Linked DNA regions of Drosophila melanogaster. The protein of the gene in region 2 purifies or fractionates together with the protein of the main gene of each other region. This does not show direct contact. Each region holds a gene or a part of one and is shown on either strand. Other genes may lie near its edges.

Region 1 (4,890 bases), on a different chromosome or scaffold from region 2:
CATCGCTCGAATTCGCTGTTCCGTCAAACTAGTGGAACATTTCTCTGTGCCAAGTGAAAAGTTTCTACTTCCATTAGAAGTTTTCCCTTAACTTAAGTAGCAGTAAACCATTAGTTTGCTGCAATACGAACTAAAATTTCATATTCCATTCAAAAAGTTGTCCCTAAAAGTTACAATTAAGCTTTTTCTCAAACATGTTCAAAATATCTATCTGTATCTATTAACTACATATAATTGCATTCGGTAAGTAAGTAGGTTAAGTTCCCTACACAAACATTTGTTACTTTTACCAAAATAATTCTATCCAGTTTCGCAGTTTTTTTTTCTGTGCATGCTTCTCAAGGTCAGAACTTCGCTCCTCTAGCTCTGTATATATCATTCTATCTCCCTATGGGAATATGCCGAAAATAGAACTCACTAGCCCGGAATTCACAGACTGCAGTCTGCACTCCTAGGCCAAAAAGAAAAACAAATAAAGAAATGAAAACTGCACTGTATTTTTGGGCTATAAATAAACGGAGCAGACGGGAGAAGCAGATGCAATCGAAACTTTTTGAAATTTTAGCTGCACTCCCAAAGGAATACTATAGAAACTACAAAGTATTGTGACGTTCCAATTTCAGCGGTGATAACTTACGTTTCCAAGTGTTGTTTTCTTCTTATTGTCTACTTGGGTATCCGAGGCGCCCTTGAAAGGGGCCTGTTCCTTTGGCTGTTAACTCTGCTGGCTGAAATTAAAAAGAAAATATATTAAATTTAGAGCCAAAGGCAATTGTGAGTGAATTGTGGGGAGTGAGGGTCGAGTAGCCATTTACCTGGCCATTAACACGCTGCGCATAAGCCGCATCATGCCAACTTAATTATACGGCCTCAAAGGCTGCGGCACGCAAAACAATGATGAAGGCGGGTGGTGAAAGTTGGAATTCATTGGATGGCATGGGATTGGATGGGATTGGATAGTATTGAATGGGATTCGATTGGGCGCGGTTGACAGTCGAAGATAATGAAGTTCGGAATGCGCTTAAGGTTCGCTTATTGTGCACTGCGACAGATAAGCTCCTCGGTGGGCCACACACTCTTGACCAGGTTAATGAATAATCAGCTGGGGTCGAGCATATGGCTGCGAAGGTAGATCTTTTTAATTAACTTGCCGTGGCCGAGTTCCTTTCGACCAAAGGAAACAATTAAACAATGGAAAACCAATTTCCGAAACTATAATAACATGATTACATCGGCGGTCTTTTGAGCATCGAACGCGTAAAGGGAATTTAATAGAAATTAATTGTTCACACAATTGCATTGATATCCCTTATAATTAATTTTCTTTAATGAGCACAATTCGGAGCTTCATTGCGTTACTAAAATGATACAGTAAAATGTGGCATGAAAAATTATACATCAATTCATACATTTTATGATGATTTCGTTTTTAGTATTATTGCAGATTGGTTTTATTTGCAATCACTAAGCTTTTGAATATAGCAATATTTAAACATAATACAGATTTCAGCAACCAACAAGTTGACTTAAAACAAGTGACTTAAAAACTTCAATAGCTCGGAAACATTTGGAATATTTTTCCATATTAGATTTTGGTAATATAAATGCTATTTGTCTGTTGAAACAAAAACTTTTCAACAAAAAGGTGTACAACTTTATGTAGTTTTTAAAATACCTTTAAATGAATGGATAAAGAAAATGAGACAACACTAAGAAATCATAAGCAATACATTTACTTTAAAGTTGCCAACGCGCTACTTTCGAGCAGTTTTTAATTTAAGTTGCAAAAGTGGCCAGTAAATTCGAATCAAAACTAGTTTAGGTGGATATCTATTGCCAGCGTGCTGCAATGGCACTTCTTTAATGCTGCCAGCGACCTTGAACTTCCGCCCAGCTGAAGCACACTCGAAAAGAGCGGAGGAGGGATGGGGTTGGAGGGCAGATGAAGTGAATTGAAAAGAGGCGAGTGCTCGCAATAAAGCTAAAAGGAAAACTGGAAAAAACTGTTGCCTACTTTCCGGCGGCACATAAATTTAAACCGCACACGCCTCTCTCACTTAATCTTCCGTATTATTTTTATTTTTATATTTCGAAACGAGAAATTAATTGTTTTGTGTGAGAGGTGTGAATATAAAAATAAATACGAGAAAGCCCACCACAAACATTCCAAATGGATGGCGAGAATGGGAGAAGGAACAAGCAAAAGCAAAACCGAAACCGAAACAAAAGCAAACAAAGCAATCAATGATAAGCGAGCAGCGGGCAAAAGACAAACACAAACAACAGAAATGGAAATAGAAAATCTCTGAAAATGTCGCTGATTGAATCGAACTAAAAATAAGGCAGCAACACGGCGTATGAGCAATGTGCGTCTCTGTGTGCGTGCCTGTGTGTGTGAGTGTGGGCAAATTATTGCCATGCTTTCTGATGAGATATGCACACACACACACACACACACACACACGTAATATAGCGTATAACAGATCCTCATCAACATATATTTGTATACATGATTATGTCAAAATTTGTTAATAAATTTTGAACGCGAAGCCGAAGGAGATGAAAATAATTTTGACAGCTTTTCACGAATGTGGGAGTGTGCACACGGTGGGATGTTGAGAAAGCGCAATTTTCAGCCAGGTGACATTTTCCCAAGCTCCTTCTCTCGCCGAGATTCTCACGCCTTTCGCCGTTTTCTCTCTTCTTTTTTTTACATAATCAGCAGCCATTGAATGCGTCGAGCTCATCTCCATTTGAATGCGTTTCCAAAAACGAGCTTAAAATCAGGACGTATCCACCCCGTTCGACTCACTTGCGTTGGCTTCCTCTATTTCCTGATGCTTCGCGAAACTTTTGCAAATTTATTCGCATGCCTTGGCGGCACAAGGACTTTCACTGACTTCACTTTCAAACTGAGGTACGATGTATTACCGCCTTGGCTCAAACCAACACTCGCGTCGCGATTACTGGTGCTTTTGGACGCACCCTCACGCACTGCGCGACAGGTGAAAGATCTTTGGGTAGATCTTTGCACCCCTCTATATACACTTAATAGATATATATATATGGATATAGGTGGTTGGGAATCGAACTGGGCTATAGCTATTATCGGCGTATCGGTCCGCACGTCCACTCGCGAGCGTGCCAGAAATGAAAATGAATGTTTTTCTCTGCTCGACTCTCGAACGCTTGATGATCAGCCGTTCTTGAGGTGAAATTTTATAAATATAACCTGAGGCAACAACAAAAGTGCCACAAATATTTCTGCGTCTTCTTCCCACTTTCACGTAGCACTTTTGTTGTTTCCCAGCTTCACCCGACCCCAACGAACCTGTGCAAGAATTATATACATATATACATATAATATAATATATGTACCATAATTGTCTGTAAGAATTCCTCTCGCTTTTTACAATGTCGCGCAGAAAGTCCAAGAGCGACAATATATTGTTCAATACGTATTCTTACCTGTTATTGTTCTGGCTTATTTCGCAGTTATTAGAGTGAGATTTTCACTTTTCTTTAGTCCAGCGGAAAGAAAAGCTGAGGAAAAGATCGACGCCCACGCATTTATCTGGCAGAATGATTCATTTTCGAATTTTTTTAAATATTTATAGAAATATTGATACTTATATAGAATAAGGAAATTGATGTCTTAGCAAATATCGCGCGAGTTTTATGTAGTTATAGAATTCAGCATAATTAAAAGTGTTAACAGAAAGACAAATGATTTAGAGATAGGTAGGTTTTTTACTCTAGACATCATAATAAAATATATACGCTTAAGATTTGTCATTGAATTATTAATATTTATTTCATCTTAATTTATTAAGTTCTGTTTCTAAGCACTTGTTTACGTAATATATATTAATAATATGCCTAAGAAGATCAACATTTGTTACTATGTTGTCTTAAATCATTTAGTTCTTTAATATTACTTATTTTTCGCTTATTATTCTATAAATACCAAATTCCTCTCCGTCATCACATGCAGTATGATTGGTCTGCATTTAGCCATCCTCGCCAGACATTCGGTCTTTTGTTCGGTCATTTGCTTGTCCCACATGACATCTTGTCAATAGGCTGATGAATCGGGTTAGCCGTTAATATATTTTCGGAAAAAATAGCGAGCTAAAACAAAGCCGCAGCCGCAGTCAAAACAAAAACAAACCGAAAAAATGCGAATTATGAGCGGGCCAAAACAAAGATGTCAACACGTTCGCCAAGGCAGCTCAAGTTGTTGACGGACTCTAGGTCAGTCCCACTGACAACGCCATAGCCACAGCTATATCCTCTATTACACGCTGAGAAAAAGTTACTAAAATGGTAACCAAATGTATTTTTTGAATATATATAACATACATAATTAGGTTTCGAACAGCATCTCTTCATCAATATAATATTTTGATGTCACTAATAAAAAGTTAAAGTGTGTGCCCCTCCTATTCGATGCTGATATAACGAAAATTATTAATTAACGATGTTCCTTTGAAAGTAATTAATTTATCAAACTGCTTTCCAAGAATTAACTAAGGATTCGTATATTTTCCATGTGCATGAGAATCACCGCTGGATTTGTGCGCAGTTGCTGGTTCTCGTGAAATTGAAATTGCGTATTGCGGACATTGCATTGTGAACACTGCAACAAGGCTATCGGAACGGCGACAATTGTATAGCACGAGTTAAGACCCATTTCCATTAGCGGAGCGTCCGAAATAGTGGCATCTATTCATTCCCAGCATATTTGAGAGCAACTCATTAGGCCCGAGCCATGATTAATTAGAACTGATGGATGGCCAATTGACGAATGGAAGGCATGGCTGCGGCGATGCGAGCCAGGAGCCAGCAGCCAGGACGCATTATTGATGGACACGTATGCTGGGAATCCGG
Region 2 (7,324 bases):
AATTCCAGCTCGAAAAAGTATGTGTAATATTTTGAATACAAAACCCCAGAAAGCCCACCACTCAATATCGTTAATCAGCATCTTCAAATAAAAAACTCAGTTACGCTTAAGCCAGAGTCAATTTTTCTCAACTTTCTGTTGCTTGTGTGTTTTTATGGCAGTTCGCGAAGTGTATCTACAAAATTTCTATGGCCTTTGTATATGTTTAAACAACAAGAATAGGAGATATATTATTAGAATATATAAACGAAGACATATAAATTAAATTTACACATTTGTCATAGCTTTTGTAATTCTATGAAGCGTGCAAAACAAATATAACAATGTATGTATTTTTCTTTTTCAACTCAATATTTTTACGATCAATAAACTGAAATCATTCTTTTGCATATAAAAAATTTCATGGATTTTTTATTTAAACGGTGGGTTGCATTAGTTAAATAATAAAAATATGCACTGATCATGAATCGAATATAAAGGACATAAAGTGTCCTGTTGGTTTCAATCTGCCGGAATATTGTGTATCCTTATTAAAAGTTAATATTGAAATCAAAATCAAATCATGCTTATATCCCAAAACTTATAGGATGTTTTTATTTGTGTTGGAATAACCATATTTGTCACATGTGTGATATTTTAACTCAACATTAAATATTCTTTGGAGCTACATATATAAAAAAAGTTTAAAATAAGCTTAAAGAAGAAGGGTTTTGAAAAATCGAATTTGAAAACTGAATACGTTTGCTCGCCAATTAGTTGTTTTTGAACAGTTTTGAAAATATGAAGTTTCAAACATTTTCCTAAATCAAGAAGAGCTATAAATCAACTAAAATTTGAAGTTATAAAAGTCTATAAATAAAGTGCACAATATTATTGACTTATGTAGGTTTGGCTTTTAAGTAAAATTTATTGCTGAACGAGAATAAAAAGATCGGGAGTACATATAAGTGTAATCCAGAGACTATGAGACATTTGGTGGAATCTTCTTGATATATAATAGTATTAAAGAAGATGTTACGTCACAGAAATATTGAAAGAAGAAGAAAATTGAACTGGATTTTGAGATGAATTGCTAAATGGATTTAGCGAGGTCGGACATATAAATAAAACCCACCATATATATTTATCTTTTAAATATACCTATATAAAAATATACATATATCTATAGAATTTCTTAGTTTAGAGTTTTGATAACAATTTTTCCATATCGTTACTTAATTGGTTATTAAAATAAATAAATTATAGATTTTATTCTTCAGTTATATAGTAAGTTAAGTGGTTTTGTTTTAGCAAAAAATCGAACGGGGACAATTAACACACAAGAAAATCGGATCAATTGCCTTGCATTCGAGACTTTCGAAAGCAAAAGAACGGCAGGAAAACGCTGGCCGATCAAAATTCCAAATATTTCTCAATATTTTTTTACCGAGCGAAAATAGATTTTCATCTTGTTGGACTTTTGCTCTTGCTGCTTGTGGCTATTTTTGGCCGTGTATCTGACGGATACACGCACACACACAGACAGCGAGAGTGCTGTGAGTAAAATATAAATTGAATTTAGATTTAAGAAGCAGAAAGAAAAGCGCATAAATTTCACGAGAATGCAGCCCAAAAGAGAGAGCATCGTATGAAGCAGCTTTTGGGGGAAATTTCGAGGGAAATTTTCGAGATCGCCGAGCAAAGTTGCGAAAGCGCCATTCCACATATACATTTATTAATGGGAAATTTTTGAGGCGAGAAATTATTCAATACCGCGTTGGTGTGTGCCCTCAGTGTGTGTGAGTTTTTCCGATTTTCCGAGTGGCAGTGTGCGTGTGCGTTGGATCTTGGGGTCGCTTTCTGGGCTAAGCAACTTGGTCAGCATCAGTGTTCTCGGGGTTTCGACAGCGTATAGTGTGTTTGAAACGCTAAGGTTGGTCACGCCAGGATTTTCACCCGACAAGAATTAACTCAAAATAAATATAATTAAATCGCTCGCCTTTGCTGCTAACCAAATTGGTATTTTCAACTGGATTTCGAGTGGATAACAAAATTGTGATAAGTGCATGGCATTCAAAATTATAAATTTTGAATTTTCCCCAAACGGGAAAAAAAAGGAAAACCTTGTTAAACTTAAATAAAATGTGCATATGTATATGTGTCAATTAGCCTGGATATAAAGTTCTACAAAAAGTTAAATGAGTGATCCAAATGTAATGGAAGTGAAAATTGCTATAACTAAAAAAATGAATATCTCTAAAAAACTTAAAATGAACGATCTAAACTACTTGAAAATGGAGATCTTATGATCATTTTTCGGATATTTTCAAAATTCGCTTATAAGGAATTTTGTAACTAAATCTGACGGCACCAATACCATCCAATAAATATCTGTGTGTGTGTGAGAGAATTTTTTTTTGCACACACACACATGAGCTTCATTCGGAAAGCTCTACACGAATGGGACACATATACATATGCACCTTACACACTTATGGCACGCACAATTTTCACACACACAATCACACTCGACCGATAAAGTTTTCCTCGAAGAAAATTCTTTAAAATTAACTGCAGACAGACACCTGCCTGTCACACACACACAGACATACGCATTTATTTTTAACTCTGCCTGAAATTTATACGAAAAAGCTTTTCCGTCTAGCTTTCTGTGATCTCAGAAAACGAAGGCAGTCGAGAACTATAGGTATTTATCCTTGAGATTGTTTTCGAGAGAGATATTTTGGAAAATATTAGAGACGTAGACGATTCCCAGATGCGGATACATATGGTATCTATCTGGGAATATATATATTCAAGGCATAGCCACCCACACAGAATTGTAGATTTCAGAGCGAATATTTCTAGCCATTCGTGAATGCGTCCGAAGGCCGCAAAATTTGCCATCTTTAAGATACATATTCGAACTGATTGAAAGCCCAAGTACCTTTGGCAATCACCAAAAATTTTAATGATGTGAAAACTAAGTAGCTATTTAACATATTATAAGTTATTTAAAGTCTTTAGAAAGAAATCCTTTTTACCTCATAAATCACATATTAAACATTGCTTATGTTTTTTTGGGTACAAAACACACATGAGTATCGCAAGACCTCCAAAAGATCAGCAACTACAACATAAATGACTTTGCCCCACTTTGGGTGGTAGCAACATAGATACACGAATTCGAATACGAATACGCCCACACACCAAATGACCCCAAAGAATTGAATACTTTTCAAATTGCAATCGGTGGCGAGCTATGTACATATATATGTGGGGTATTTCGAAATAATAGGGGGAAACTCTAGAATTACATTTAGCACACAATGTCCAAAAAAGCATTTCTCCTATGCGTGTGTGTGCGAGTGGACTGGATATTTTTTTCTCACATGCAAAAGCATATAAAGTTTATTTTTAACCCCACCGAATCGTGCAGCAAATAAACATATAAACATATAGCTCACCGACGGATCCGGATTCGGATTTTGAGTGGGCGTTTTGAAAATGGAAAATGAAAATTACGTGAGATCTTTTGAGAATGCTCGGCGTAGCCGCCAAACAAAATGTGTTTACATTTAATTCTCAAATTTATTGCACGAACACATATGCACAGCATATAGATATATACAATTTAATTATACCTATGGATAACCTATAGAATGCGCCTGGATCGTTTAAATAAACCGATTTTGTCTTGCAGCGGAAACATAAAAATTCTAGAAGTCACAGTAAAGAAACAAAAATGTATAGTCAAAAGAAAAATCCAAGTTCAAAAAATCTGTAATTTATGAAAGGAAATAAACATTGGAATATCTTAGGACCAACGTATATATGTTATAATATATTATTAAGCGGTTCAAAGCTACAATTAGATTTAAATAAAAAAGTCATACATTTTATTAATTATATAATATTATTATTATTATATTATAGTATATATAATATTCTATGCCTTATGAAAATTGCTCCTTAAAAATTGCACATTAAGGATTCAGTTATTCAGCTTACTCATTTGTATTATTTGGCACAGTGCTTTTTTCCAGTTTTCTTCCCTTGTAAGTCAAAAACAAAAACACAAACACCATGGACGCCATCAAGAAGAAGATGCAAGCGATGAAGCTTGAGAAGGATAACGCCATTGACAAGGCCGACACCTGCGAGAACCAAGCCAAGGATGCCAACTCCCGCGCCGACAAACTGAACGAGGAGGTGCGCGATCTGGAGAAGAAGTTCGTCCAGGTGGAGATCGATCTGGTTACCGCCAAGGAGCAGCTGGAGAAGGCCAACACCGAGCTGGAGGAGAAGGAGAAACTCCTGACCGCCACCGAGTCCGAGGTGGCCACCCAGAACCGCAAGGTGCAACAGATTGAGGAGGATCTGGAGAAGTCCGAGGAGCGCTCGACCACCGCCCAACAGAAGCTGCTGGAGGCCACCCAGTCGGCCGATGAGAACAACCGCATGTGCAAGGTGCTGGAGAACCGTTCCCAGCAGGATGAGGAGCGCATGGACCAGCTGACCAACCAGTTGAAGGAGGCCCGCATGCTGGCTGAGGATGCCGATACCAAGTCCGACGAGGTCTCCCGCAAGCTGGCCTTCGTTGAAGACGAGCTGGAGGTGGCTGAGGATCGTGTCCGCTCCGGCGAGTCCAAGATCATGGAGCTGGAGGAGGAGCTGAAGGTGGGTCCTCAAGAGAAATCCTTCTGTTCTCAAACCACTATTCATGGTGTATTCCCAACTAGGTTGTCGGCAACTCCCTGAAGTCCCTGGAGGTGTCCGAGGAGAAGGCCAACCAGCGCGTGGAGGAGTTCAAGCGCGAGATGAAGACCCTGTCCATCAAGTTGAAGGAGGCCGAGCAGCGCGCCGAGCACGCCGAGAAGCAAGTGAAGCGCCTGCAGAAGGAGGTCGACAGGCTAGAGGGTATGTATCCAACTTCCTACGCCCCTGGCACATTCACTCAGCCATTTTCCGCGGAGGTATCTCTCCACGGGACACCGGAGATGCTGTCCACCGGAAGTGATCCGCCTCGAACGGCCGGATCGCTGGCTTCAACTAATGCTCGCATTGTATTTATCGCCATAAGGATATTAATAATTGTACTTAGTACTCTGCTTTCATTAATTGACGTTCCACATTCACACATCTCGCTCGCTCGCCCTTTTTTTTGAATATCTCTCTATATATATATTTGTATAAATGAACAACAAACAAATGCTTTTTGCAGACCGTCTCTTCAATGAGAAGGAAAAATACAAAGCAATCTGCGACGATTTGGACCAGACATTTGCCGAACTTACTGGATATTAAAAAAGATCACAAACAGAACTCACACAATGCCCTTGCCTCCCCCCCCCCCCAACCGCCCCTTGCCCAACTCCCCCAAAAAAAGGAACACTCTCAGTACATCCCGAATCCCACACAGTTTATTATATATATATATATATATTCTATATTATATTTTTGGAACGATTCCCCCAACAGTTTCAGTGTATTTACCACCCAGCCCAACACGCCACACTTATCTATACACTGTAAATAATCTGTTTAGTCCCGCTTGAATGTGGCCACACCCACACGACCAGTTCCCTACGCCAGTACACTGTAAAAATAAGTTCAGATCAAGCCAAACCAAGTTGCAACTGTAGTTAATACAGGTGAATTTATCAATGTAAATATTGTTGTTTGTATGCCAGATTCTTACCCGTTGTGATGTGGCATGACCTCTTGACCCGTCTCGCCTTCGCACTCTATCTCAGTCTATGTCTCTATGTCTCTCTCTCTCTCTCTCTCTCTATCGTCTCGTCGATCATCAGTGGCTTTCGTTCGAGCCAATTTCGCCCAGGCCTTGGTCGAGGGATTCTCTCAAGGATTGCTGCAACGATTGGTTGGATAGATCATGTCCACATCCCGTAGAGCACCCCATAGATAGTCCTGTCCCCCACCTCCCCTGAAAACCCACGCACAGAACCGCTGACTAACCCAAAAGATCAAAAGATAGAAACGCCTGCCAGAACAGCGCGCCACTAATCCTAATCAATAACTCCATAAACTTGGTACACATGGTGTAAAGTTTGAGTGTTTTTCGTTTCAATTCCAATGTTAAAAAACCATATTTTTGAATATTTTCTAACGCATTTCCAACCACCATTTGCACTCCGCAGACGAGTTGGGCATCAACAAGGACAGGTACAAGTCCCTGGCCGACGAGATGGACTCCACATTCGCCGAATTGGCTGGCTACTAAGTTGGCCAACAGTCCCATTATACCAAATCCACACCAGCAGCGGAGGAAGATGGAGACGACGACGAGATGGAGAACTCTACTAATTGTAAACGAATATCTCAAATTGATTTGGCCAACACGAAGATCGGCGGCCGCAGATACCAAGAACAACAACCATTGTGTATGCAATTCTTTATAAATCTATATATTTCATAATAAATAAATAACAACAACAAACAGATCAACAACAGCAACAAAGCCAACGAGCATAGAAAGCAAATGGAAATTCTTTTGTTTTATAAAAAATAAAATTATCTAAAGTCAAAAGTAGCAGAATGTATAAAGTAAACAAAACGAAAACAAGAACACGAATTTTGTATTTTTAAAATCAATGTTTAAAAATATTAAGAAGCGCTTGCAGTCAGGCAATAAGAGCGAGAGAGCTAGAGAGAGTGCCCAGGAAAGAGACGGGGCTAAATTTAAAATTTTAAGATCGCGCTGCCTGCTTTACTTTCAGTTTATATCTTACAATTACACCACAAACAAACAAAAAAACACCCACAAAAAAAGTATAAAAAAATTTATAAAAACTTTGCTAAAAAAAAATTATATGTTTGATGTTTGCTTTCAATGATGCACAAAACCGAATTTCTTTGCCCTTCAGCGAATCGCGCTGAAGTTCACTACATTTTTGGCGGATATGCAAAGTAGTCTTCAGTTTTTTCCACCGATTTCTCATACTCTTGGGAAACCCCATGGATGCTGGGCCGAAATAACCAAGTCCGAAGTGCGTCACCACTTCATCGGAGATGGATCACGATCCGCAAATCGAGGCCTTCATTGCAACATCTTTAGCATCCGCGCTAATTGTCAAAGCAATGAATAATGAAAGTTCAGTTATCTGTATATATATGGCATATATACACATCCTCAGGGTGATTTCCAGATATGAATTGTAGATGTGGGCAGCTCGCCGTTTTGACCATCAATAAGTGAGTTAAGGCCGCGTTCGACATGTGGGTCTGTTGCTCTCTTGGCCAAATGGACTTTCTTGTAAACTGAACTCGAATTGAATTTCCATTTCTCCTCGCTCTTCTCGCGACGTTGGCCATAAAATAGTTA

Evidence for each region.
Region 1: the proteins of Tm2 (region 2) and tn purify together in Drosophila melanogaster (affinity purification with western blotting; one study listed by BioGRID). This does not show direct contact.

What each region holds. Positions count from the first base shown.
Region 1 is NT_033778.4:18,985,614-18,990,503, reverse strand, and holds the start of tn (thin), read right to left. Parts: upstream 3,161-4,890; 5' UTR 2,813-3,160; intron 1,121-2,812; exon of another isoform or gene 816-1,120; intron 729-815; 5' UTR 638-728; intron 1-637.
Region 2 is NT_033777.3:15,308,388-15,315,711, forward strand, and holds Tm2 (tropomyosin 2), read left to right. Parts: upstream 1-1,857; 5' UTR 1,858-1,912; intron 1,913-2,289; exon of another isoform or gene 2,290-2,686; intron 2,687-3,647; exon of another isoform or gene 3,648-3,807; intron 3,808-3,988; exon of another isoform or gene 3,989-4,012; 5' UTR 4,013-4,065; coding exon 4,066-4,659; intron 4,660-4,721; coding exon 4,722-4,899; intron 4,900-5,203; coding exon 5,204-5,286; 3' UTR 5,287-5,633; intron 5,634-6,140; coding exon of another isoform or gene 6,141-6,223; 3' UTR 6,224-6,810; downstream 6,811-7,324. UniProt on the Drosophila melanogaster protein: Tropomyosin, in association with the troponin complex, plays a central role in the calcium dependent regulation of muscle contraction. May also regulate motor systems required to maintain nuclear integrity and apico-basal polarity during embryogenesis.